Linked DNA regions of Notamacropus eugenii. The protein of the gene in region 2 interacts with the protein of the main gene of each other region in a pairwise test. Links are inferred from orthologs where the notes say so. Each region holds a gene or a part of one and is shown on either strand. Other genes may lie near its edges.

Region 1 (7,069 bases), on a different chromosome or scaffold from region 2:
GTGGAAATTGAAGGTTGGTCTGGTCCTTCCGAATAATATGGGGAAGCATGGTGGCACAAAATCCTTCCTATCAGGGAAGCTGAGGTTGGTGAACCTCTTGAGCTAGGGAGCTCAAAGCCGCAGTGGACTCTGCTGATCAGTTTCTGAACTAAGTGTGGAATCAATATGATGAGCTCTGGGGAGCTGTCAGGGAGGAGCCAGGCTGTCTAAAGAGTGGAGAATCAACTGGGAAAAAGCTCTGGTGCAGATCAGGTACTATGTTTCTGTCTTAGAAGCGGACTGGAGATGGAATTTGAAATAGCCTAAGACTGAAGTGGGAAAATACGTAAGTTCTTGGAGGAAAGCTGGAGAGTTAGAGCTACAGTGACTAAGATCCTGTTAAGGGGTGTCTCTTAGATAGAAAAGGATATACAATGGGATTCCCATATCCAGAAGAGAGGGAAAGAAACCTTGTCAGGGGATATAATTCTCAAACAACATGGCCCCTCCTTACTAACTACCCTGATCTGCTGAGTCATGAAAACTGGTTCTAAAAACAGAGTAGCAAAGTATTCAAATACAAAAGGGTAAGGAGTTCAACAGAGAATGGTAATGGGAAAAAAAACACGCTGGCATTGAGAGAGACAAGTAAATAGATTGTTGAGGTATTCTAGTCTTCAAAATGGGGGAAATGAGATTTAAATAAATGTCAAAGAGTACAGAAATCCATATGACCTGTTTCCCAACAAACTGCTACTTTCCAAGTCCAAAGCATCCTCACCTCAAATCAAATCCTCACCACATCCACACTGGCTGAGGAGAAAGATCTTACAAAATATTGGAGAAGCTGAGGTTTTAAAAGAAGTTTCAGCTACCTGTGTATATGTAAAGGGGTGGAGTGAAGTGGGGGGGGAGAACCCTCTTTTCTCTCATCTAGATGATTCTTACTAGAGACCAATCTTGTCTAGAAGCTGTCCCTAGATACCAGGTAACAAAGGAATGAGAGAAGACTAAATGTAACATTTTATAGACTACCTCTGACCTAATCTCAAATCCTTTCTCCTAGAACCTGAAGAATTTATGATTGGGGATTTAGAGAGAATACAATACAAAAGGAGGGCAAGGGGCCCACATGATGAAGTAGGTATCTGGAAGCACATTTCAACGAAGAAACAAGGAAACATAAAGGGAAAAGAGGTTAAGAACAAGCATATGCTACCAGACACAGAAGGGAATCAGGAATGGAGGAATTTCTGCCAGGTCAAATAGGAATGCTGCTTAAGGGGTGAGTTCAAGAGGAAACAAGAGTCTACTCTGAGGTGCTATTATGAAGACTCTGTGTTATCACATGGTCCAGAATTGAAAGGGAAGCCCAGGATTTAGGAAAGAAATGACAAAGAATCAGCTAAGGAACCTCTTTTTGCTGAAGAAAGATTTAAGGAAGTTTTCTGGAAATAAGGATTCAGATTGGTTAGGCGAAGTTTACATAGTTAACTACTTAGATTAGGGAGTGAGCTGAGACCCAGGTTACCAGAGATGAAAACTCTCTGATGAGAGAAATGCGAGTACACACCATGGCAAACACCAAATCCTTTTTAGTCATAATGCGAAATATGCTTTGGGGAATAAAGGGAGCAGAATGGCTCAGAGGCATAAGGGTCTGTTGGGTAAAGGACAAGGGGGAAGGGAGGGCAGAATCTCTCCCCACATGTGGTGATAGAGGAGAAATATCAACAAACATTTATTAAGTAACTATTTGCTAGGAACTGGATAAAGACAAAAATGACAATCTGCCCTCAAGGAACTTACATTCTAGTTCTTCCAGATGTAGGATAGGCTACAATATATGTTCAAACTCAGGCCTGGGAGGTAGAACAAAAACGTTGGCAGGGTATAAGTTACAAGGATGTCCCCTCCCAGCCCCCCCATATTAGAGAATTAAGGAGAAGAAAATCTTTGGGAAGCAGTGAGTCTTCAACTTCAGTTATTTTACCTATGAAAGGATACCCCAGAAACCAAATTAGGGGTGGGTAGAAAAGGGTGTGGATAAAGGGAGGGAACCTCTGCAGAAATGCCTTCAGAGGGGAGCTTGGGGACAGAAAAGGGTCCTCCAAAGGGACTCCTAAAAAAAGAGCTGTAGGAGAATGCCCAAATAGGGAAAGTTACTAGGGAACATTCTAGAAACAGAAATGCTTTAGGGAAAAATAACAGGGGATGTATCCACTCCTAGGAGAGGGGTCCACTTGAGGTCCTCTTGGAGGAGAACACAGGCTCCGTTTGGGGAATGACATCGGTAATGTAAAAGTGCATACATGTACTGGTCCTTACCCGGATCAAGCAATATTCTAGGTAGGTCTTGCGTGGAAAGTAGAGGTATGGAGGTAGAGGACTTGTATAATGAAGCCATCGACGAATGAGAAAGCAAAATGAATGGCAGAGCACAGACTTCCTAGAGGTCAGGGGGTGCTACAGCTGTTAGAGCTGGGGTTCAGCTTTTTTCTCCCTCAGTTGGGGAATACGAAGTGGGAGGGGCTCTGCCTGAGATAATGGACCGAAGATGGGGGTGGGGGTGGGTTACACAAAGACACAATTCAAGTCTCAGCAGCCCTAGGTGACTACAGAAGGGAAGGTCAGCGGTGCAATGAGCAGCAAGGGTGTTCCTGCGCTGAGGTCCCTGCCCCGGGAAGGAGGGAAGAAGCAGGCGAGGGGCCTGGAGCAGCCACGGGGGGAAGGGACGGGGACAGGCCCAGGGAGTGTCTCCTGGAGGTGGGTCGGGGGGTGGCCGAGGAGGAGTCCCGACAGCCCCGCGCTTCCCCGGCCCGCAGGCGGGCAGGTGTCCCCGGCCGGCGCGCCGCCTCACCTTGTAGAAGGCCCCGTTGGAGCCACGCACCTCGACCGGCAGCCCCGGCTCCATGTCCCTCCCGACAGCTAGGCCGCCCATGGAGGGGCCGCCGCCTGCGGCGGCTGCTGCTGCTGCTGCGGCGGCGACTGCTCCTCCTGCTCCTCCTCCGGCGGCGGCGGCCTGAGCTCGGGCCGGGCCGGGCCCCCTGCGTCGCCCCCCCGGGGGAGGAGGAGGAGCTGGCGGGGACGCCGCAGGGGGCGGGAGCCGGGCAGGCCCCACACCGGCCCCGCCACAGCCGACGAGCAGGGGGCCGGGGCCGGGCCGCTCCCCGTCCGCCGCCGCCTCGGTCTCCGCCACTGTGAGGGAAATGGCCGCCGCCGCCGTCTCCTCAGCCACTGCCTCAATCCCGGGAAGCCGCCGCCACCACCACCTCCGCCGCTGCCGCCGCCGCCGCCGCCGCCTCCGCCTCCGCCTCCTCCTCCTCCTCCTCCTCCTCCTCCTCCTTCTCCTCCACCTCCCTCCCCCCTTCCTTCCCTCCCCCTACCGCCGCCGCCACCGCCGCCGCCGCCGGCGCTACTACCTACTGCGCAGGCGCGCTCGGCACCCTCCCGCCCCGCGCCCAGAGACAGGAGAAAAAACACGGCGCAGGCGTCGAGGAGCGCGTGACCGTGAGTGGTTAGCGCGCGCACCCGAGCTGGAGCCTTTAACCCTAACCCTAACCCCTAATACAACACACCGCACGCACGCACGCACGCACACAGCTACGCTTGCGCAGAAGGGACCACCCCTTCCAAGGGCGTGTCGAAGGGCGCAGCGGCTGCTTATGTCACTTTCTCCCACTTTCCCTCCTCCCCCAATTTCTCTTTTGTCTGCCCAGCTGCGCAGACTCGTAGATGCGAGGGAAGGGAGCCGGGGAAAAGGTGGAAGGAGTCAGGTCGAGGTGTCCGCTTCGTGCGCGTGCGCCGGCGGAGCGGCCGCTGCGGTGCTCCTTCATCCTTGGGGCTTTAAACCTTTCATAGCGTTGGGGGGGGGGGGGGGACATTAGTGGGAGCGGAGTCGGGACGTATGTAGCCTCTAAGTGCCGGCACTGGCTGGATGTCCGTCCGTCCAGCGCACGCTTGCTTCCTGTTCGCTGAGACATTAAAGGCGTGTAGAACACACACATACACGAAATGCGCTTGTTAAAATGCATTTTAAAGCAATCCGTAATTTAAATGGTGGAATTAAATCATCAAATGAGAGGCAGAGGGGTGTAAAAGCCCCGAAGGCAAGGACATAGGTCTTCTAGTCACTAGCCCTGCGGTCGGGGGAAACCACCTAAATACTTTGTGGGGCAATTCTCTGACTGTCAGAATTGGCAGAGGAAGTTTCCTCACCGGGAGTTCCCCACAACAATGAAGTCACAGGTGCAGCCTTCGTCCCTTTCCCCAGACAAAAAAAGAGCCCCTGCTGGCCGGAGCGAGCCAGTCCGTGCTGGAGGGCCGGGGCGAGTCAAAGGGAGAGAAGAAAGAACAGGATGTTCAGGGACAATGAGGAGGCAGTAACGTGATGCTGCTGGAAAGGAAGGAGCGAAAGGCCGGGGCCAGGCTGGCCAACAGATCAGCCACCCTGGGGAGTGTCTAAAAATAAGGACTGGCTGAGATTACATTCTTTCCTTCTGCAAATACAGCCCTTGAGGGCAGCAACTTTTCAAAGTTTTCCGGAAAAAAAAGCTTTTGCTCCCCCAGGGTTTAGTGCAGTGCCTGGCACACAGTAGGCTCTTCATGAATAGTGAACTGAATTACCTTTAGGAATCCCTTCTATCCTGTGGCACTGCGGTAAGAAATGGAGATGAGATGATTAACACTTTGTCCTACCCTCGAGGAACTTAGTCTTTTAGAGGGGTTTAGATCTGTGCACAGATAGGTAAAATGCAAAATAGGAAATAAGTGCATAGGAATTTAAAGTGCTAGGAGATTTACTGGGATTTCCTCCAAAAGTGATTCCCCCCTCCCAAATACCCCTCTTGATCTGGGGTAATCTCAATTCTTCCAGGCTCCAAATCTTTTGACTCAATACTTTTCAGTCCCTTATGCTTCTTATATCCAACAAAGATACCCTTTGCCTTCTCCCCATGTGAGCTGAAGCAGGAAGGGGTGGGGGTGGGGGTGGGGGTGGGGGGGCAAAGTTCTTTTCCTTAAAAGGCACTGAAAACTGTCCTGGAGACTTAATTGGCTCTGGGACTAAGGCTCAGGACACTTTCAGTAGCTTCCTGGTTGCCTAAGAACAAAAAGGGCCAGATGTAGGAGCTTCAACCCCTCCCTCTGTTCTGACCTTGGACCAGCTTGACCAACTTGGTTTAGGAAAGTTATGCTCAGCTGAATCAACATTACATCTTCCCTAAATATCCTTCTCCTGCTCTTGAAATATCTGTCAGATGGACTACAAAATGCCACATTTCATCCTAATCTCAGACCGGAGCCACTTGACCAGCCTTTTCAGCTCTGGCCTGCCAACTACGTATCTATTTCAGTATTTAAAAGTCCCACTCTACTCTGGAATTTGATTCCCCCAGTTCCAAGTGTATAGAGTATTTTGTGTAATCACAAGTGAAAATAGGGTTCAAACTTCAATCCAGTGCCTTATCTACCGAGCTAGAGTCATTCATTAAATAGCAAACTATTTTAATAGGTAGTAATAGCAATGTAAATAATAAAGGAAACTCATGCAGTTGAATAATTTTTCAATGCTCTTACACAAAAGAATATTCCCACAGACTCTTGCACTGATGAGAAAATTCCTCAGACAACTTATGATATTATTTAAGAAGGGATTCTGTGCAGTTGAAGCACCCAATATCTTCTTCAATACAAGGAATGTTTTAGCTCTTTGGTGAGACTACTCCTAATCAAAGTGCTGAGGGGCTAATAAACACACTTAGCTCTTGTTAAACATAGTGACCATACCTGGTTGACACTCAAGCAACTGTCAATATCTTTTTTCCCTTCACTCCATGCCACTCCCACTCCACCAAAGAAAACCCCTCTATCCTTCACTTGGTTTAGGATAAATGAATTCATTTCAACTCCCATCATAGAAATGAAAGTTAGTGCTTGGGCCATACAGATTATCTTGAAATTCCAATAAACCTCAAGGAGTTATTTAGCAATGTTTGGGGGATGGGGAGTAGATGTGGAGATGTGGGCTTTTGCCCTTTATCCCTGTTTATTAGCAGTGGTTCCTGTCATCCTTATCTGGGAGGCAACCAAAGCCTGCTTATTTTTTCTGAAAAATTTTTCTTCTATCCTTTAATAAAAAAATGGATATTTTTTTTAACTTTGAGAGTAACCTGTGTCAGACTAAATTATTGGGATTTTTAAGTGGATAATGTGCAAATTCCATTTTCTCATCTTCCCTTGGTTGAGAGGATGAAGGAATCAAGTTGGATTAGGGATTACATTTTTCAAAATCTACCTTTCAGTCAGAAGGCTGAAGTTTTCTTTGCCACTAAGGATACAAATAGAAAAGGCCAGTGTTCTTCAGATGGATAAATAACTAAATCCATGGGATTGTTTGGAGTCAGAACATTTTCATTTTGGGACTAATGGGAAAGGGATCTTTAGATTCTGTAGCCTAGAAGAAATTACTAAAGGCCAAAAAAGGCTTGAAGAAATCTAGAGGGAGAATAGTGTATAAGTTCCATCCTATCCAGTCTGGTACTAAAAAGTTTTCTTTTTACTCTAATTTCTAATTCCTTCATATATGTTATTTCTGAATTTGTATGTCTTATTTACCCTTATTTTAAAAAAATCTAGAAAATGCACTCCTGTGTTTAGTAGAGAAAGGGAGTGGTAATAAGAAAAAGAAGTGGGAGGGCAGACAGACCAGGGTGTCCAGTTAAAATGAGAGCAACAGAAAGTAAGTAATTAGCCACTGATTCTGACAGATCTCTGAATTTGGAGCCCCAAGCTGATTCAGAGAATGAGGAAGATCTGGAGAAATGGTTCCTCAATCAATGATCAAGGAAGGATTAGAAAGATGAAAATATTGGGAGGGAGGTATGTGTGTTTGTCCTTTGTTGCCAAAGAAGACCATGCTATCAGAGAAATAATGATATGACTTGTACTTGACTTTGTTCTGAGTGAGGAAGGGTTGTTCAGGTCACCAACCTCACTTCTCCTCCAGAGCCATCTGAAAACAGTGACCAGATATTCATCAGGATGACTGGAGATGACCCAGGATGAGGCAATTGGGGGTAAGTGACTGGCC
Region 2 (7,123 bases):
CTATGAAGTATGTGGGTAGCATGTTTCATCATTAGTGTTCTGGAATTTAGGTTAAACTTTGCAATGACTCAGTGAACTTCAGCTCCTTAGACCTCAGTTTCTTCCCCTGTAAAATGAGTGCATTGAACTAGATGATATCTAAGGTCTCTTTGAGCTCTGAATCTTTCATTCTGTGATCCCTGATTATGCTCTAATGGAATCTGTGATGTCAATGTGGGTACTCTCATCAAGGACCGCAAAGTGTTCATGATTGTCTATCCTAGTCTAGTTGTTAACAACCTTCAATAAATCCACCATAAAAGGTACTCCCAATATGCTGGTGGTATTCCTCACACTTTCTTTGAAATATTTTTTATTCCAAATTTGACAAATACCAACAAACATAAAAGTTTCTGATTATAAAGAAAAGTAGAAAAAATGTGCATATGAAATCTTCACCTTAATATCTATTATATACTGTTTTTTACAAGTGTATGTTAAGTTTAATAGAGAAGTATCAACACTGTCCTGTTTTCTGTGCCACCTTCTGCTCTTTGACTGTGTTTTAATGTTTAATTTACACTTTTCTTCATTTTTTGTCATTACTATCACTACTCCAACTCCCTCCCTAAGACTTTCCTCTTCCCAAAATAAATGCCTTCACTTTGTAACAAATAAGTATTGTCAAATAAAAAAACAAGCATTCTTCCCATCCCCTGCAAAAATAAACAAAATACATTAAAGACTGCTTCATGAATTTGTATGTCAACCTTGAACATGAGTCATACTAATTTCTTTATTATTCCAATTTTAGCATATGTGCTGCTGTAGTAGGCACTTTCTTGCAAGTTTGTGACATTGAAACATATGTGCTATCCTTCAGTTTTCCTTTGCTTTTGCTGTGTGACTGGCCCATCTTCTTTTTCCAGTGATAAATTTCTCTGATGACATTTGTTATACAGTTTCTACCGTGTAAGTCCTCCCTTGTAATGTATTGCCACTTATATTTCAGCCACAAACCATGCATCTTTCCTTTATTCTTTGGGAATCCTTAATTTCAGTTGTTTGGAGACCATAGTGTTTCATTACTCAAAGGCATGCAACATTACCGGGAAACTATTGATGTCAGAAAGATGGGCTTTTGTTTTGTGGAGAAGCTTGGGATCACTAAATGAACTGTGCAGTTTTCCACAGGCCTTCCAGCTCTCCTTCCTCCTCCTGTTCAGTTGTGGACCTAACTCATTGTTCATTGGTAGTATCTTTCCAGGATATATGTACTAATAGATGAGCTCTATGGTTTGCCTATCCAACTGTTTATCATCCTTGATATGTTTTATCATATGGCACTAGAACCTTTTATTTCATTTTAAAATAAAGGAAATGTATGCTTTTTTTTTTTTTTTTTACTATATTGCTTTTCACTTGTGTGTTCCCTGAAGTCTTCTTTCAAACAACTTTGTCATTTGTAAAGATAAGAATTAGCTTTATAGGGAGTAAATTTCTAAACTGTACAGATTAGTGAGAGAGTTACTATAGTAAAATAAAAAAAAAAAGAAAAAGTACTAGATTTGGACTCAATCTAGATCTGAATTTGAAACCCAGTTCCATTAAACTTTTCAGGGAAAGGAAAGGGAACAAGAAGATTAGAAACTGGTTCTAGTCTGGTTGACAGGTGTCTACCATATGCTAGACACTATGCTAAATGCTTTACAAAGATAATTTCTCTTGATCTTCATAAAAACCCTGTGAAGTAGATGGCATTATTATCCTTATATTATAGTTGAGAAAACTGAAACAGTCAAAGGTTAAGTGACTTGCCTAGGGTTATACATCTAGTAAATATCTGAGGCTGGATCTGAACTCAGATCTTCTTGATTTAAGACCCAGTACTCTACCAGTTAGCTGCCTTAGATGTCACTTAAGTTTTTTAAGCCTCAGGATACTTATCTGTAAAATGGGGATTATATTACCATTCTCACAGGGCTGTTGTAAGGAGAATACTTTGGAAACCATAAAATGCTATAAAATATGACCTGGTATCATTATTATTCATATTTTGGTAGTTCTCTGTGTCTCTTCTAGCCCCCAAATTCTGACTCTCTTAATTTATATAGCAATAAGACAAGTATCATGGTTAAGTATTTAATAAATGCTGTTTGATGATGATGAAGTTATATTTTTATTAAAGAAATTCAAGGCACTTTGCAAATATTGCATTATTAATACTGGGCCACAAGTGTTATCCTCCCTTAATTTATAGAAATGTACTCACATTTTGGTCACAAGAACAAACACATTTAAGTTTTACATCCAAAAGATACATTTAGGCTATATAGTATCCTTTAGAACATTACATGTTTTCATAAATGTTATGGCTAGTCAACCTTGAGGTAAGGATACATTTATAAAACTTCTCTGACAATGAAATAGCTGATGTACTTTTGAAAACTTCATTGTAGCCAATTATGAAGGCAACTTAGTAAACTGGATTTAGTGTCAAAGATGCTGGGCTTGAATACTAATTCTGCTACTTCACTACTTGTGTGATCTCAAGCAAGCCTTTCCCTGGGCCTTGGTTTCATTTTCTGTTTTTCTCTATCTAAGGACTCCTGGATCTTACCATCTGCCCTAAAACTGTACCCTTACATCTTCAGAGCCTTCCTGTCCACACTGTATTGTCTTTCCCTACTTAGAACTGAACGTGATGTCTTTGCCAAATATAGTATGAAATCCTTGAGAGAGTAAGGGCTATTAACTTTTTCTACTTCTATCTAAAGAGGTAAGCAAGGTGATTGTCACATGGTGGATACAGAACCTGGAGTCAGGAAGATACAGCTTCCTGAGTTCAAATCAGCCCTCAGACACTTAGTAATGGTGTGACCCATAGCAAGTCACTTAACCCCTGATTGGCCTCAGTGTCCTCATCTGTAATAAGAGCTGGAGAAGGGCATGGGAAACCACTCCAATATCTCTGCCAAGAAAACTCCAAATAGGGTCACAAATAGTCAGACATAACTGAAAAAAGAACACAATAAGCAACAAAATAAACAACTTAAAATGCTTTATTCATTCATCTGTATGAGATTGGAGTATAATGATCACTGTGAATTCCTGGAAAGCGGGAATTATCTTTTGCTTTTCTTTGCACCCCAATGCTCAGTATAGTACTTGCCACATAGTAGGCCTTGACTAATGTTGACTTCTAGTTCTAAATCTTGTGATTTGAATGAGCAGGATAATAACATTACCTTTTTATTTTCTTGATGCTTTTATTGCTTTGACTCTTTTAACTTTTCATTTATAGGTAGGGTACCTTCTGCTGGTCTTCAATAAATGTGCCAGGGCTGTATTTAATCTTTTTTTTTTTAAAAGACTACATTTAAGGATTTTAGCACATCTCTGAAAACTTTTGGTATAGTATTCTGTGATATTATTAAAGCATTCTTGTTAATTGATGCTGAAAGTTATTTAAAATAGGGATCTTTTGGGGCACAATTGGAAGGACATTTCAAACAGATAATCAGCCTTCTTTTTCTTTCTTTATTTTTTCCTAAACTAATACTTTCCACTAAAAATGAACATTTTGGGAAGATCACTCCTACACTGAGGATATATATATATAATATATATGGCATATATATTATATATATATATACACACACACATCAATAATCTCACAAGATATGATACTCTCATTCCTCACAAAAGAAATCAAGACTTCCATATTTACTCATGAGGAAACATGCTTGGTGAGGTTATATATTATTTGCGTTCATAGTTTTTAGAAGCTGAAACATTAGAGATCATCTCCTTGTCTAAATTCATACCATGACAAAGACAGGGTTAAACTGTGATAGGAATCAGATATGGAAGGGATCTTGGAGAGTTTAGGATCATAGATTCAGAGAATGGGTCATAAAAGCCACCTAGTCCAAGATCCTCATTGTACAGGTGAAGATATGATGGCCCAGAGGAGCACAGTGACTTTTCCAAGGTCACCCAGGCCAAGAGAAGAATCTAGATTCGAATGTAGATTGCCATCAGATTCCGGAACCCAGTGCTCTTTCAACCACAGTAACAACATTCGGTCTTTTCAGTATTTCAAGTTAAGCCTTTGAGAAGAGTTAGAAAAGAAAGTTGTTTCACACCTGAGTGACTTGGCTTGGCCTTGAAAGGGCTATCAAAGTTGTGCCAATATTATACCAAGGGGGTACGTTTGTGTCGAGTTCTCTAAATGTAACACCGCTTTTTAAATTTAGATACCTGTGAAAAGGAGCAGGAGAAGCTGGTCCTGGGTCCTAGGGATAAGGGATCAAAACCGATCCGAAGAGAACGGTGGAAGGAGGGACCAACTTGGGGACTAAGGGACGAAAAGATGGAGGAAAAGGGGAAAAGGGGCTTGAGTGGAAAGAAAAGAGGTCGTCTGAACCGGAGCCAGGTCGGGAGGAGACAAGATGGTGTTGGACCAAGTCAAGACTCCTCTGGTGAGCGAGAAGAGGGAAGAAATGCGGGAGCGACCTTCACCGGGAGTTTGGAGGGATGGGGGGATCGCGAGGGCAGGAGCCCGACCCAAGGTGAGTGAGTCCTAGGATGGGGGCTGGGCGGGGGCAGCGACGGGAAGGGAGGGGCGACGGATCGAGGGAGGACCGCGGGGCTGAGCCATTGGAGGAGGAGGCCAGAGCCGGGAGAGGGGCGGGGCTGGTCCCGCAGAGCTCGAGGTGGGGGCTGGGGTTGGGGGAGGACGCTTCTGTGCCAGCTTAGGTTGAGGCGCTCCGAAGCTAGGGTGAGGGAATAGAGAGGGAGGGTGTCAGGAGCTGGCAAGACCTACGCCCGCGGCTGGGGCCCCCAGGCCGGGACGGGGGCGGAGCCTGGGGCGGGGCCGGGCCCTGGGGGCGGGTCCTGCGCTGGGCCCCCGCGGGGAGCGGCGGCCGGTGGCGCAGGCGCGGTTCCCGCCTCCTCCTGGACTGGCGGAGCGAGTGGAGGAGGCTGCAGCCCCCGGCTCCGGCTCCGGCTCCGGCTTCGGCTCCGGCTCCCCGTCACCGCCCCTTCCCTGAGCGGGATGAGCTCCCGGAAAGGTGTGTGCGCCCTCTCAGCTCTCTGCCCTTCCCGCCGCCCCGTCCCTCGGAGGCCACAACGTCCCCAACCGTTAATGTGTGTCTCTCTCTCTTCCCTTCCCCCCCACCCCCCACAGTGCTGGCCATTCAGGCCCGAAAGCGGAGGCCGAAGAGAGAGAAACATCTGAAAAAGTGAGTCCGGACTCCCCGACGTCGTCCCGCCTCCACCCCCTTGGTCCCTCCAGACTGGGGAGGCTCGGGGGGCGCCGGGTTCCCGCGGAGGAAAGTTGCCCGGACCCCCCTGGGGGCGGGGCAGGGGGCGGGGCGGGACGCGTCGGGCGCCCCCCCTCGGGATGCTCTCTTCTTCCTCCTTCCCCCCCGCCCCGGCTGCGCCCCGGCTGCGCCCCTCTCGCGGGACGCTCCCCCCTCCCACCGGACGCTCCCCCCTTCCCCCGCAGCACTCCCTCCCCTGGGGCCCCGGGGAAGGCGGACGAGGCGAGGGCTCCCGGCAGCTGCCGGTCGCTGTCCCGGGGCTGGGGGGAGGGGTGGGTGCGTGCCTCCCGCGGCCGCCGCCGCCGCCGCCGCCGCCGCCGCCTTTGGCTCAGACCGGAGCTCTGCATCCTAGCCCAGACCTCTGCCTCCTTGGGTGGGGGAGGGAGAGCGGCCGTCGGGGTGTTGGGATGAATGGCTCAGGCCAGCGCGTGCCCTTTCTTTTGCTTTTAACTCTCCTTCCTCATTTTGTATTTTGTCTTAGTGAGCCTCGAACGCTTTTTTCCTCTCGGTGAGGAGGTCTAAGTTTGTAGTTGCAGGTGTAGAAGATGTACTGGAATTCATTCATTCATTCACCAATCAACCACTCTTCCTTTTCCCCGGTCTTCGCCTCTCACCCGGGGAATTATTTATTGGAGGAGAGGGACATCCCGGTTTCTCACTTTTTTCTCCTCTTCTTCAGCTATCCTTCGTATTCGCTCCCACGCCCCGAGTAGATAGTATTGGTATTTATACTACTGCGTCGAAAATCGGCGTTTGTTCTGCGAAAAGTGTATTGATTTGCTTTGGATAAATCTGCTCCGTGTTGGTGTGAGTTGAGTTTTCACAGTTTCTGTATTTTGGAGTTCTTCATTTTTTCCCCGAAACTTTATTGTAGGGTCATGAACTTCCAGTGTGTTAGCTGCTGGATATTTTTCTCGGTTGGCTTTTGCTTTGAAGAAGCCATCCAGTAGGTGGGCGTATGATTTATGGTGAAAGAGATTGGCATTTGATTAAGCTCCAGCCATTCATTGCCTTAGAAAGTATGATGACTGGTGTTATCATGTTTAAAACGTGCATTCCACCAAGCTGCCACCCCCACTACATCTAAATTTAATATAAACGTATAAATGGACCAGAATTAAACCAGTGGCTAGGGATTTATAATTGGTAGTGTAGCAGAATGGTTCAGCTATGTTTTCTGCCCTGGAATGTATCTTTTGAAGCACTGGAGTCAGCGAAGATTTTTCATTGACCAATATTCAACATTTTTTCTTTTTATATGCTTAAGAATTCCTTTTAAGCAAAAATATTTTCATGAATGTGGTTGGGTGGCAATATAGGGGTGTCATCGTGGTAAATGTTTTAAGAATTTAAAATTTAAATGAAATTATAAAATGTCTAGTTTAAGTTAGGACTTTCTTTGGGAGGCTCCCTATAACTCATCCAAGGTTTTTCTTTATCATTCTTCTTTTAGAAGAATCTAATGTTAGTGACATCTGTGAAAGCTCATTAAATCATTATTAATGGATGAGGTGGTATAATATAACTGAAAATTATTCATTCACAAATGAATCCTGAGTTCAGCAAGTATACCAAGAATTACACACATTATACATGAAGTGGTGGGATGTTTTTTAAAAAGTGAGGAAACTAGACAAAAAATATTCTGAAATTTGAGACAGTAAATGTAAAAATTATCCTTTGGCTTTGAACTTAGTGTGGATTAGAACTGAATGGATCTATTTTATGTAACTTGTTTCTGTAATTAGCAACACAAGGTAGATTTTGGAAAATTTGCTTTACCTTCTTGGGTCTCAGATTTCTCATCTGTAAAATGA
Region 3 (7,538 bases), on a different chromosome or scaffold from region 2:
TTGAATTAAATTTCCCTTACTTTACACTGCAGGCAAACTATACAGCCTTCCACCTCTTGCCTTCAATATTGCCTCTCTCATCTCTGTAGCTTTTGCTCAATCACACCTGGAATTTTTGAAGTTCCTTATTTCCTCCTTGGAAGCTCCATTAAGCCTCTCCTCTTCTTTTCCCCAAGCTGAAGTTAATATCTTCCTTATCAAATTTCTCATGGAAATAGACTTCTCCTTTGCAATTTTTTTGTCTTGTATCATATGTATTTGTGTTCATGTTGTTCTCTCTACTAAATTCTGAGCTCTTTTGAAAGGTCTGCAACCCAGAAACTAATACAGTGCCTGGAACATGGTAGATATTTAAAAGCTCATTCATTTGAACTGACTTACTCTACAGAATTCAGAGTTGGAAGACTTCCAATAATGGGAATCCCACAATTTCTACTATTGGGAAGCTCTAACTATTTGTTGGGAAGTTTCTCCTGATCTTAAGCCAAAGTTGGTCCCCTACACTTCTCTTAGTTCTGTTGTCAGGGACCAAACAGAATAAGTTTAATCCCTCTTGCATGTGTTTCAAATACTGAAAGATGGCTCTGATGCTATCCCTGAATCTTCTCCAAACTAAACATTTCCAGTTCCTTCAATCTATTCATCAAGTTGGACCACTTGCATTCTTTCTCCCATTAATTGGAGAGGGTGGAAGGTGGACATCAGTGAGTTCCTCTTAGATCTTCCATTCATTGAGAGGGCCCAGGGCCACCATCTCTTAATTTCCCATGATGAAGGACTTCATCATGCCCTTTTAACAGGTATCTTTGTTCTTCCCTCTCCCTCACCCTTCTCTTTTCATTTTCTTTTTATGTCATTTTCCCTCATTAGATTGTGAGCTCCATTTTTTGTGTATTTCCAGTGCTTAGCATAGTACCTGATACATAGTAGTAGCTGAATTGTTATTGACTGACTTCTCCAATTTCACTATACACTGGTACAGAGTAGGCACTATTCCAGTGATATACTCCCTTTCACATTTCCACTTGTGGAAAACCATTCTTTCTTCAAGGCAAGTACAATGTTACTTCAAACTGTCCAATTACCTCACTCCAAATTTTTCACCCCAAAAATCCTCAAATTTTTTATTATATTCTACCCTGTATGTATTTATTTGTGTACATGCCTTATCCCCAGTAAATTGAACAAAATCCATTCATTCAGGGGTTATATAGCTTTTTACCTTTTTATATGTAGCTTCTAACAGTTCCTTGCACTTAGCAGGGGCTTTAAAATACTTACTGAGTTAAATATTCCTGAGATACAATAGATATAAGGAGTGAGAAGAATTTTATTTAACTCCTAAGGTTAATGGGAGGTAAAACATAAAGGAAGAAACAGACATAAAACCAATAGGAAATTTAAATTAAGCAATTTTCCTGCCAATTTTTTCCTCCATGAAGATCTACATACCTTCTTCTCTGCACAGCAGAATTCCTCTCCCTATTCCCACTTGATGATCTGGTTCATCAAGCTCTCTTTCCAAATTCTCCAACAGAATCACTGCTGCCTCTCCACTCTCTGGATGGTGTTCTTGCACCCAAGTATGAAGTTCTTCAGGAAGGATGGTCAGGAATTGTTCCAGCACCAGCAACTCTAGGATCCTTTCCTTTGTATGCATTTCTGGTCTTAACCACTGATGACAAAATATCTGGAGTTGACTGAGGGCCTCTCTGGGGCCTGGTGTCTCCTGATAGCATAGTTGACGAAAACGTTGGCGGAAGAGTTCCCTTTCCTGGGGATTATTTCTTTGCAGGCTGAATTCTTGCCCGCTGCAGTGGTCTTTCTCCTCCATTTTCTCTGTAAGCAACCCTTCCTGTCCCACTAGAGCCTGCACTCCCAGGGTTACAGCCTCCCTTAATTTTGTATCCGTTGGAGACTTCTAAAGCTCAAGAGATAGCTTATTCCAGCAAGAAAAGTTCTTTTCTTCAGGTATCAGTCCTGAGTTACAAAAATTGCTGTTAATATGGAGAAATGACATATGGTACTAAGAACTGACTTACAGGTATATATATATACACACACAGAGAGAGACATATATGTAAACATGTGTATATATGTATATATACATATACATGTGTGTATATGTATTTTTATATATATTCAGCCATAAGGGTGATTTACTGAAAGCAAGGTCACTTTGTGACAGGGAGAATAAGCACAATTAAAGGTAATAGCAATTCAGACACATAAATCATTCACCTTATAAACCAAAAGCAGAAAACTAGGATTTTACTTAGAACTGTTAGAGATCTGTATCTATCATGGAAGCAGTTAAGTAAAGTAACCAATAGAAATATTGTGCCTGTCCTTGGATCTCTAAATTCTTGAAACTCTGAAACATCCGAAAGCTTCAAATAGAGAACTTCCAAGTTTATATTCAGTCATTTACTGATTACACCTTGTTTAGTTCTGAATCTTCCTAACTGCACTACTTTCTAGCTCACATCTCTCCGTCTTGACCAGAACAGTTTTTGTCTCGACTTTTCTAAAATCTAGGTAAACTATATGGGTAGCATTCCCATAACCTATTAGAATAATAACTAACATTTTCTAAAAAGGAAATAAGGTTAGTCTAGCATAACTTATTCTTAAAGAAGCAAGGCTGCTTCTTTGTAATCACTGCTTATTTTTTTTTAATAGGTTCACTGACCCTCCCAAGCAAGCTGCATGGTAGCCCCAGAGGCCAATGTCTACTTTGGTTCTCTGGCCCCAGTGTAATCACAACACCCCTCCTCATAGCACTCTCTCTGCCAGGGTTCAGAGCTGGTCTGGGGAGAATAGGGAGGTGATTGCTCCAAATCCACCCCCTTCCAGCTGATAGAGGGGGAAACCCTTAGGGCCACAGCTGGACAGATCTCATTTCCAGGACCAACTCACCTAAAACGGGTTAACTGGGGAGAAGGGTACGCTCAGTCCTGAGCCGCAGGAAAGGAGGTAAAGGATAGAACTCAAGGCAGGAACACTAGTCAGACCTAACAAATACCAACCAATCGTAAAGCACCAGTTATTTCCGGGACTCTCTAGGAATTCTCCTCTCGTTTTCCCAGCGCCAGATCTCTTCACCCCTTGAATCTCCATCCTCTGATATTACACAGGCTCTTTTCTAACCATTTAAAGCCAGTATCCTGGCTGGTGTTCAGCTAGCTTAGAGGAAACTGGAAAAGCTAGTACTGAAACTGAAAATTTTGATCCCTAAAGCAAAACCTGCAGGTTGGGCCTCCTTGCAAAATATTGAGCAATAGTCCCCAAACTGAACCCTTTAAGTTACTGTACGTATGTGTGTATCTAATATATGTAATATGTATTATGCACACTACATATATACATATATGTATATATACACATATATACAGTTACTATGTATAGTAACTGTACAAGGTGTACTATTTATAAGATAAATTGAAGATAACAGAGAAGTTATTTGCAATAAGAGGATATTGGAAAAAGCTTTCTTTTAGAAGGTAAGATTTTTGCCTGGGATTCAAAGGAAGTCAGGGAAGAAAGTAAGTAGAGATGAAACAGAAGAGAATTTCAGGCATAGGGAATAGTCAGTGAAAATGGCCAGAGTAGGAAGATCAATTGTCTTAGATGAGGAACAGTAAGGAGGCCAGTGTCACTAGATCCTAGAGTAGGTGAGGGTGAATAAGGTATAAGGAGACTAGGAAAGTGGGAACGGTTTTGAATGTCAAAAATAACACTTTTTATTTTATATTCTAAACTTCTTGGAGTTTGGCTCCAGATTGCATATTCCATCAGAAACTGTTCTCTCCAAAGTTACTAATTATCTTTTAATTTCCAAATCCAATCACTCCTCAATCTACTTAACCTTTCTGTAGCCTTTTTTAAAAATTAAAAAGAAAAATTGACATTCATTTAAAAAGAAATTCAGTTTCCATTTCTTTCCCTCCTTTCAGCCCCTCTCCCACTTGCTGAGAAGGCAAGCACTATGATACCTATTATACACATGAAGTCATACAAAACATATTTCCATATTACTTGCTGTTTAGTTAATTGGTCATGTCTGGCTCCTCTTGACCCCATTGGGGGTTTTCTTGGCAAAGATACTGGAATGATTTTCTACTTCCTTCTCCAGGTGATTTTATAGCTGAGGAAACTGAGGCAAACAGGGTTAAGTGGCTTATTCAGGGTCACACAGCTACTGTCTGAAGCCAAACTTGAACTCAGGAAGGTAAGTGACTCTAGGCTCAGCATTCTATCCACTATGCCACCTAGCTGCCATGTGGCCAAAAAAATTAGGAAAAATAAAGAAAGCGGAAAAAATATGCTTCAGTCTGCACCAACTTCATCAGTTCTCTTTACGAATATGCATAGCATTTTTCATCATGAGTCCTTTGTGATCATCATCAGAGTAGCTAAGTCTTTCATAGTTAATTATTGTTAGAATATTACTGTTACTGTGAAAACATTCTGGTTCTACTCACTTCACTTTGCATCAATCCATATAAATCTTCCCAGGTTTTTCTGAAAGTATCCCCTTCCTTATTTCTTTTTTTCAATTTTTAAACATTTTAATTTAAAGTTTTGGATTCCATATTCTATCCCTCCCTCTACTCTCCCTTTCCTGAGATGGTAAGCAATCAGATATAGGTTATACATGTGAAATCATATAAAATATTTCCATATAAGTCATTCTGTACAAGAAGACTCAAACAAAAGAAAAAAATGAAAGAGTGAAAAATAGCATGCTTTATTCAGTATTCAAACAATATCAGTTCTTTCTTTGGAGGCAGATAGTATGCTTCATCATTAGTCCTTTGGGATTGTCTTAGATCATTGTATTGCTGAGAAGAGCTAAGTCATGCACAGTTCTTCATTAAACAATTTTGCTATTACTGTGTACATCGTTCTCCTGTTTCACGTCTCAATATTCACTTTACAATGTTCACTTTACTATGCGTCAGTTCATGTGAGTCTTTACAGATTTCCCTTCCTTATTTCTTAATAACACAAATGGTATTGGTCATAATCACATACCACAACTTGTTCAGCCATTCCCCAATCAATGGTCATCCCTCAAATTCTAATTCTTTGCCACCACAAAAAGATTTGCTGTATTTTTGTACATATAGATCCTTTTCCTTTTCCTTTGATCTCTTTGGGATACAGATTTAGTATTGGTATTGCTGAGTCAAAGGGTATCAAAACTTTGTAGCTCTTTGGGCATAGTTCTAAATTTTTCTCCAGAATAGTTGGATCAGTTCACTGTTCCACCAACAGTTCATTAAGACAATGCTCTCATGGTCTCCCAGTCACCAATGGAGTGAAATAAGGCTGTGTGGTTGCTCCCATGCTTTTTAGCATGTTTTCAGTCGTGTTGTCAAATGTTTTCAATGAGGATGAACATGGAATCAAGGTTAGCTACCGCATTGATGGTAAATTCTTCAACTTGAAAAAGCTACAAGCCAAGACCAAAGTGGAGGGAATGTTGGTGCATGATTTTCTGTTTTCAGATGATTGTGTGCTCAGTGCACCCCCTGAAGGTGAGATTCAACATGGTATGGATCAGTTCTCTGCTGTTTGTGCTAATTTTGGCCTAATAAGACGAAGAAAACATAGGTGTTCCATCAGCCACCACCACACCACCCATATGTGGAATCATTGGTTACAGCAAATAGAGAAGTTTTGAACGCTGTGGATAACTTTACTTACCTTGGTAGTATACTTTTCAGGGATATACACAGTGATAATGAGGTTGGCGCACACATTGCCAGAGCCAGTTCAATTTTGGGGAGGCTCTAAAGGAAAGTATGGGGGAGAAGAGTTATTAGACTGACTACCAAATTGAAGGTCTACAGAGCCATTATGCTGACCTCATATTGTATGCTTGTGAAACCTGGACAGTATACCAGCTCCATACCAGGAAACTGAATCACTTCCATTTTAGTTGTCTCAGGAAGATTCTGAAGATCACCTGGCAGGATAAGGTACCAGACACTGAGGTCCTTTCTCAAACTAAACTGCCAAGCACTCAAATTCTGCTTCAGAGAGTGCAATTCCACTGGGCTGACCATGTTATTAGAATGCAAAATGTACATTTGCATAAATGACTATTTTACAGAGAATTCAGGGCAAGCGTTCACATGGTGATCAGAAGAAGCTATATAAGGACACTCTCAAGGTCCTTCTTAAGAAATTTGGAATTGATTGTATGACATGGGAAATGCTGGCACAGGACCTCTTAGAATGGCGTGTCCACATCAGAGAAGGTGCTGTGCTCTATAAGTAAAGCAGAATTCAAACAGCTCAAAGGAAACACAGGATGAGTAAATTTAAAGAATTCACCCCAAATGTTCACACAGACCATTTGTGCCCAAGCCGTGGTAGAGCATTCCAAGCTTATATTGGTCTGATCAGCCACAGTCAGACACATTGAAACTTGACTCTAGTACAGTGATGTCATTTTGATCCTCTCTGAGAATGAATTACAAAAACCAACCAACCCAGGTATTTATTTTTCCAAACCCTTAGCATTTATCATTTTCCTTTTCTGGCACATTAAAGAATCTATTAGGCATAAGATAGTACCTCAGAGGTGTTTAATTTGAATTTGTCTAATTATTAATGATTTAGGGCATTTTTTCCATATGACTTGATAGCTTTGATTTCTTCTGAAAACTGCTTGTTCGTATCATTTGACTATCAATTGAGGGATGACTCCCATTTTCATAATTTTGTCTCAGCTCCCTATACTTTTGAGAAATGAGATCTTTATCAAAGAAACTGTATAAAATTTTTTCTAATTTTCTGCTTTCTTTCTAATTTTGTCTGAATAGGTATTGTTTGTACAAAACCTTTTTAACATAATCAAAATTATCTATTTTGCTTTCTATGATTCTCCTTATTTCTTATTTGGTTGTGTACTCTTCCCTTATCCATATATCTGACAGATAATTTTTTCCAAGTCCCTCTAATTTGCTTATATCACCCTCTATGTCTAAATCATGGTTCCATTTTGACCTTATCTTGGCATATAGTGTGAGATATTGGTCTATGCCAAGTTTATTCCACACTTCTTTCCAGTTTTCCCAGCAGCTTTTGGCAAATAGTGAGTCTTGTCCCAAAAACTTGGATCTTGAATTTATCAAACACAAACTTGTGGTCATTTATAATTCTGCTTGAACAGTATGACATCTGATACTGTTATACTTCCATCTTTCACTTTTTTCATTAATTCCCTTGATATTCTTGACCTTTTATTCTCTTCTGAATTTTAAAATATGATATAACATTTTATTTCTCCCTAATTACATACACAGCAATCTTTAACACTCATTTTTTAAAATTTTGAGTTCTCAGTTCTCTTCCTCTCTGCCCCATCCCATTGAGAAGGCAAGCAATTTGACATTGGGCAATCATGCAAATCATATGTCCATGTTAGTCATGTTGTAAAAGAAAAAAAACAAACAAATAAAAAACCAAGAAAGATAAAGAAAGCTAAGAAAAGATATGCTTCAATCTGCATTCAGACCCTATCA

The links.
Region 1: the proteins of SRPK2 (region 2) and FXR2 interact in binary tests that used the Homo sapiens proteins (3 or more experiments, as listed by UniProt). The link is inferred for Notamacropus eugenii from reciprocal best matches to the Homo sapiens genes SRPK2 and FXR2.
Region 3: the proteins of SRPK2 (region 2) and zinc finger and SCAN domain-containing protein 9-like interact in binary tests that used the Homo sapiens proteins (3 or more experiments, as listed by UniProt). The two-hybrid records come from large-scale screens. The link is inferred for Notamacropus eugenii from reciprocal best matches to the Homo sapiens genes SRPK2 and ZSCAN9.

What each region holds. Positions count from the first base shown.
Region 1 is NC_092873.1:78,374,623-78,381,691, reverse strand, and holds the start of FXR2 (RNA-binding protein FXR2), read right to left. Parts: upstream 3,022-7,069; 5' UTR 2,921-3,021; coding exon 2,840-2,920; intron 2,398-2,839; exon of another isoform or gene 2,308-2,397; intron 1,842-2,307; exon of another isoform or gene 1,789-1,841; intron 1-1,788. UniProt on the Homo sapiens protein: mRNA-binding protein that acts as a regulator of mRNAs translation and/or stability, and which is required for adult hippocampal neurogenesis. Specifically binds to AU-rich elements (AREs) in the 3'-UTR of target mRNAs.
Region 2 is NC_092874.1:150,434,224-150,441,346, forward strand, and holds the start of SRPK2 (SRSF protein kinase 2), read left to right. Parts: upstream 1-4,070; 5' UTR 4,071-4,354; coding exon 4,355-4,463; intron 4,464-4,825; exon of another isoform or gene 4,826-5,038; coding exon of another isoform or gene 5,039-5,054; intron 5,055-5,170; coding exon 5,171-5,225; intron 5,226-7,123. UniProt on the Homo sapiens protein: Serine/arginine-rich protein-specific kinase which specifically phosphorylates its substrates at serine residues located in regions rich in arginine/serine dipeptides, known as RS domains and is involved in the phosphorylation of SR splicing factors and the regulation of splicing.
Region 3 is NC_092873.1:72,350,426-72,357,963, reverse strand, and holds the start of zinc finger and SCAN domain-containing protein 9-like, read right to left. Parts: upstream 3,022-7,538; 5' UTR 2,920-3,021; intron 1,981-2,919; 5' UTR 1,835-1,980; coding exon 1,453-1,834; intron 1-1,452. UniProt on the Homo sapiens protein: May be involved in transcriptional regulation.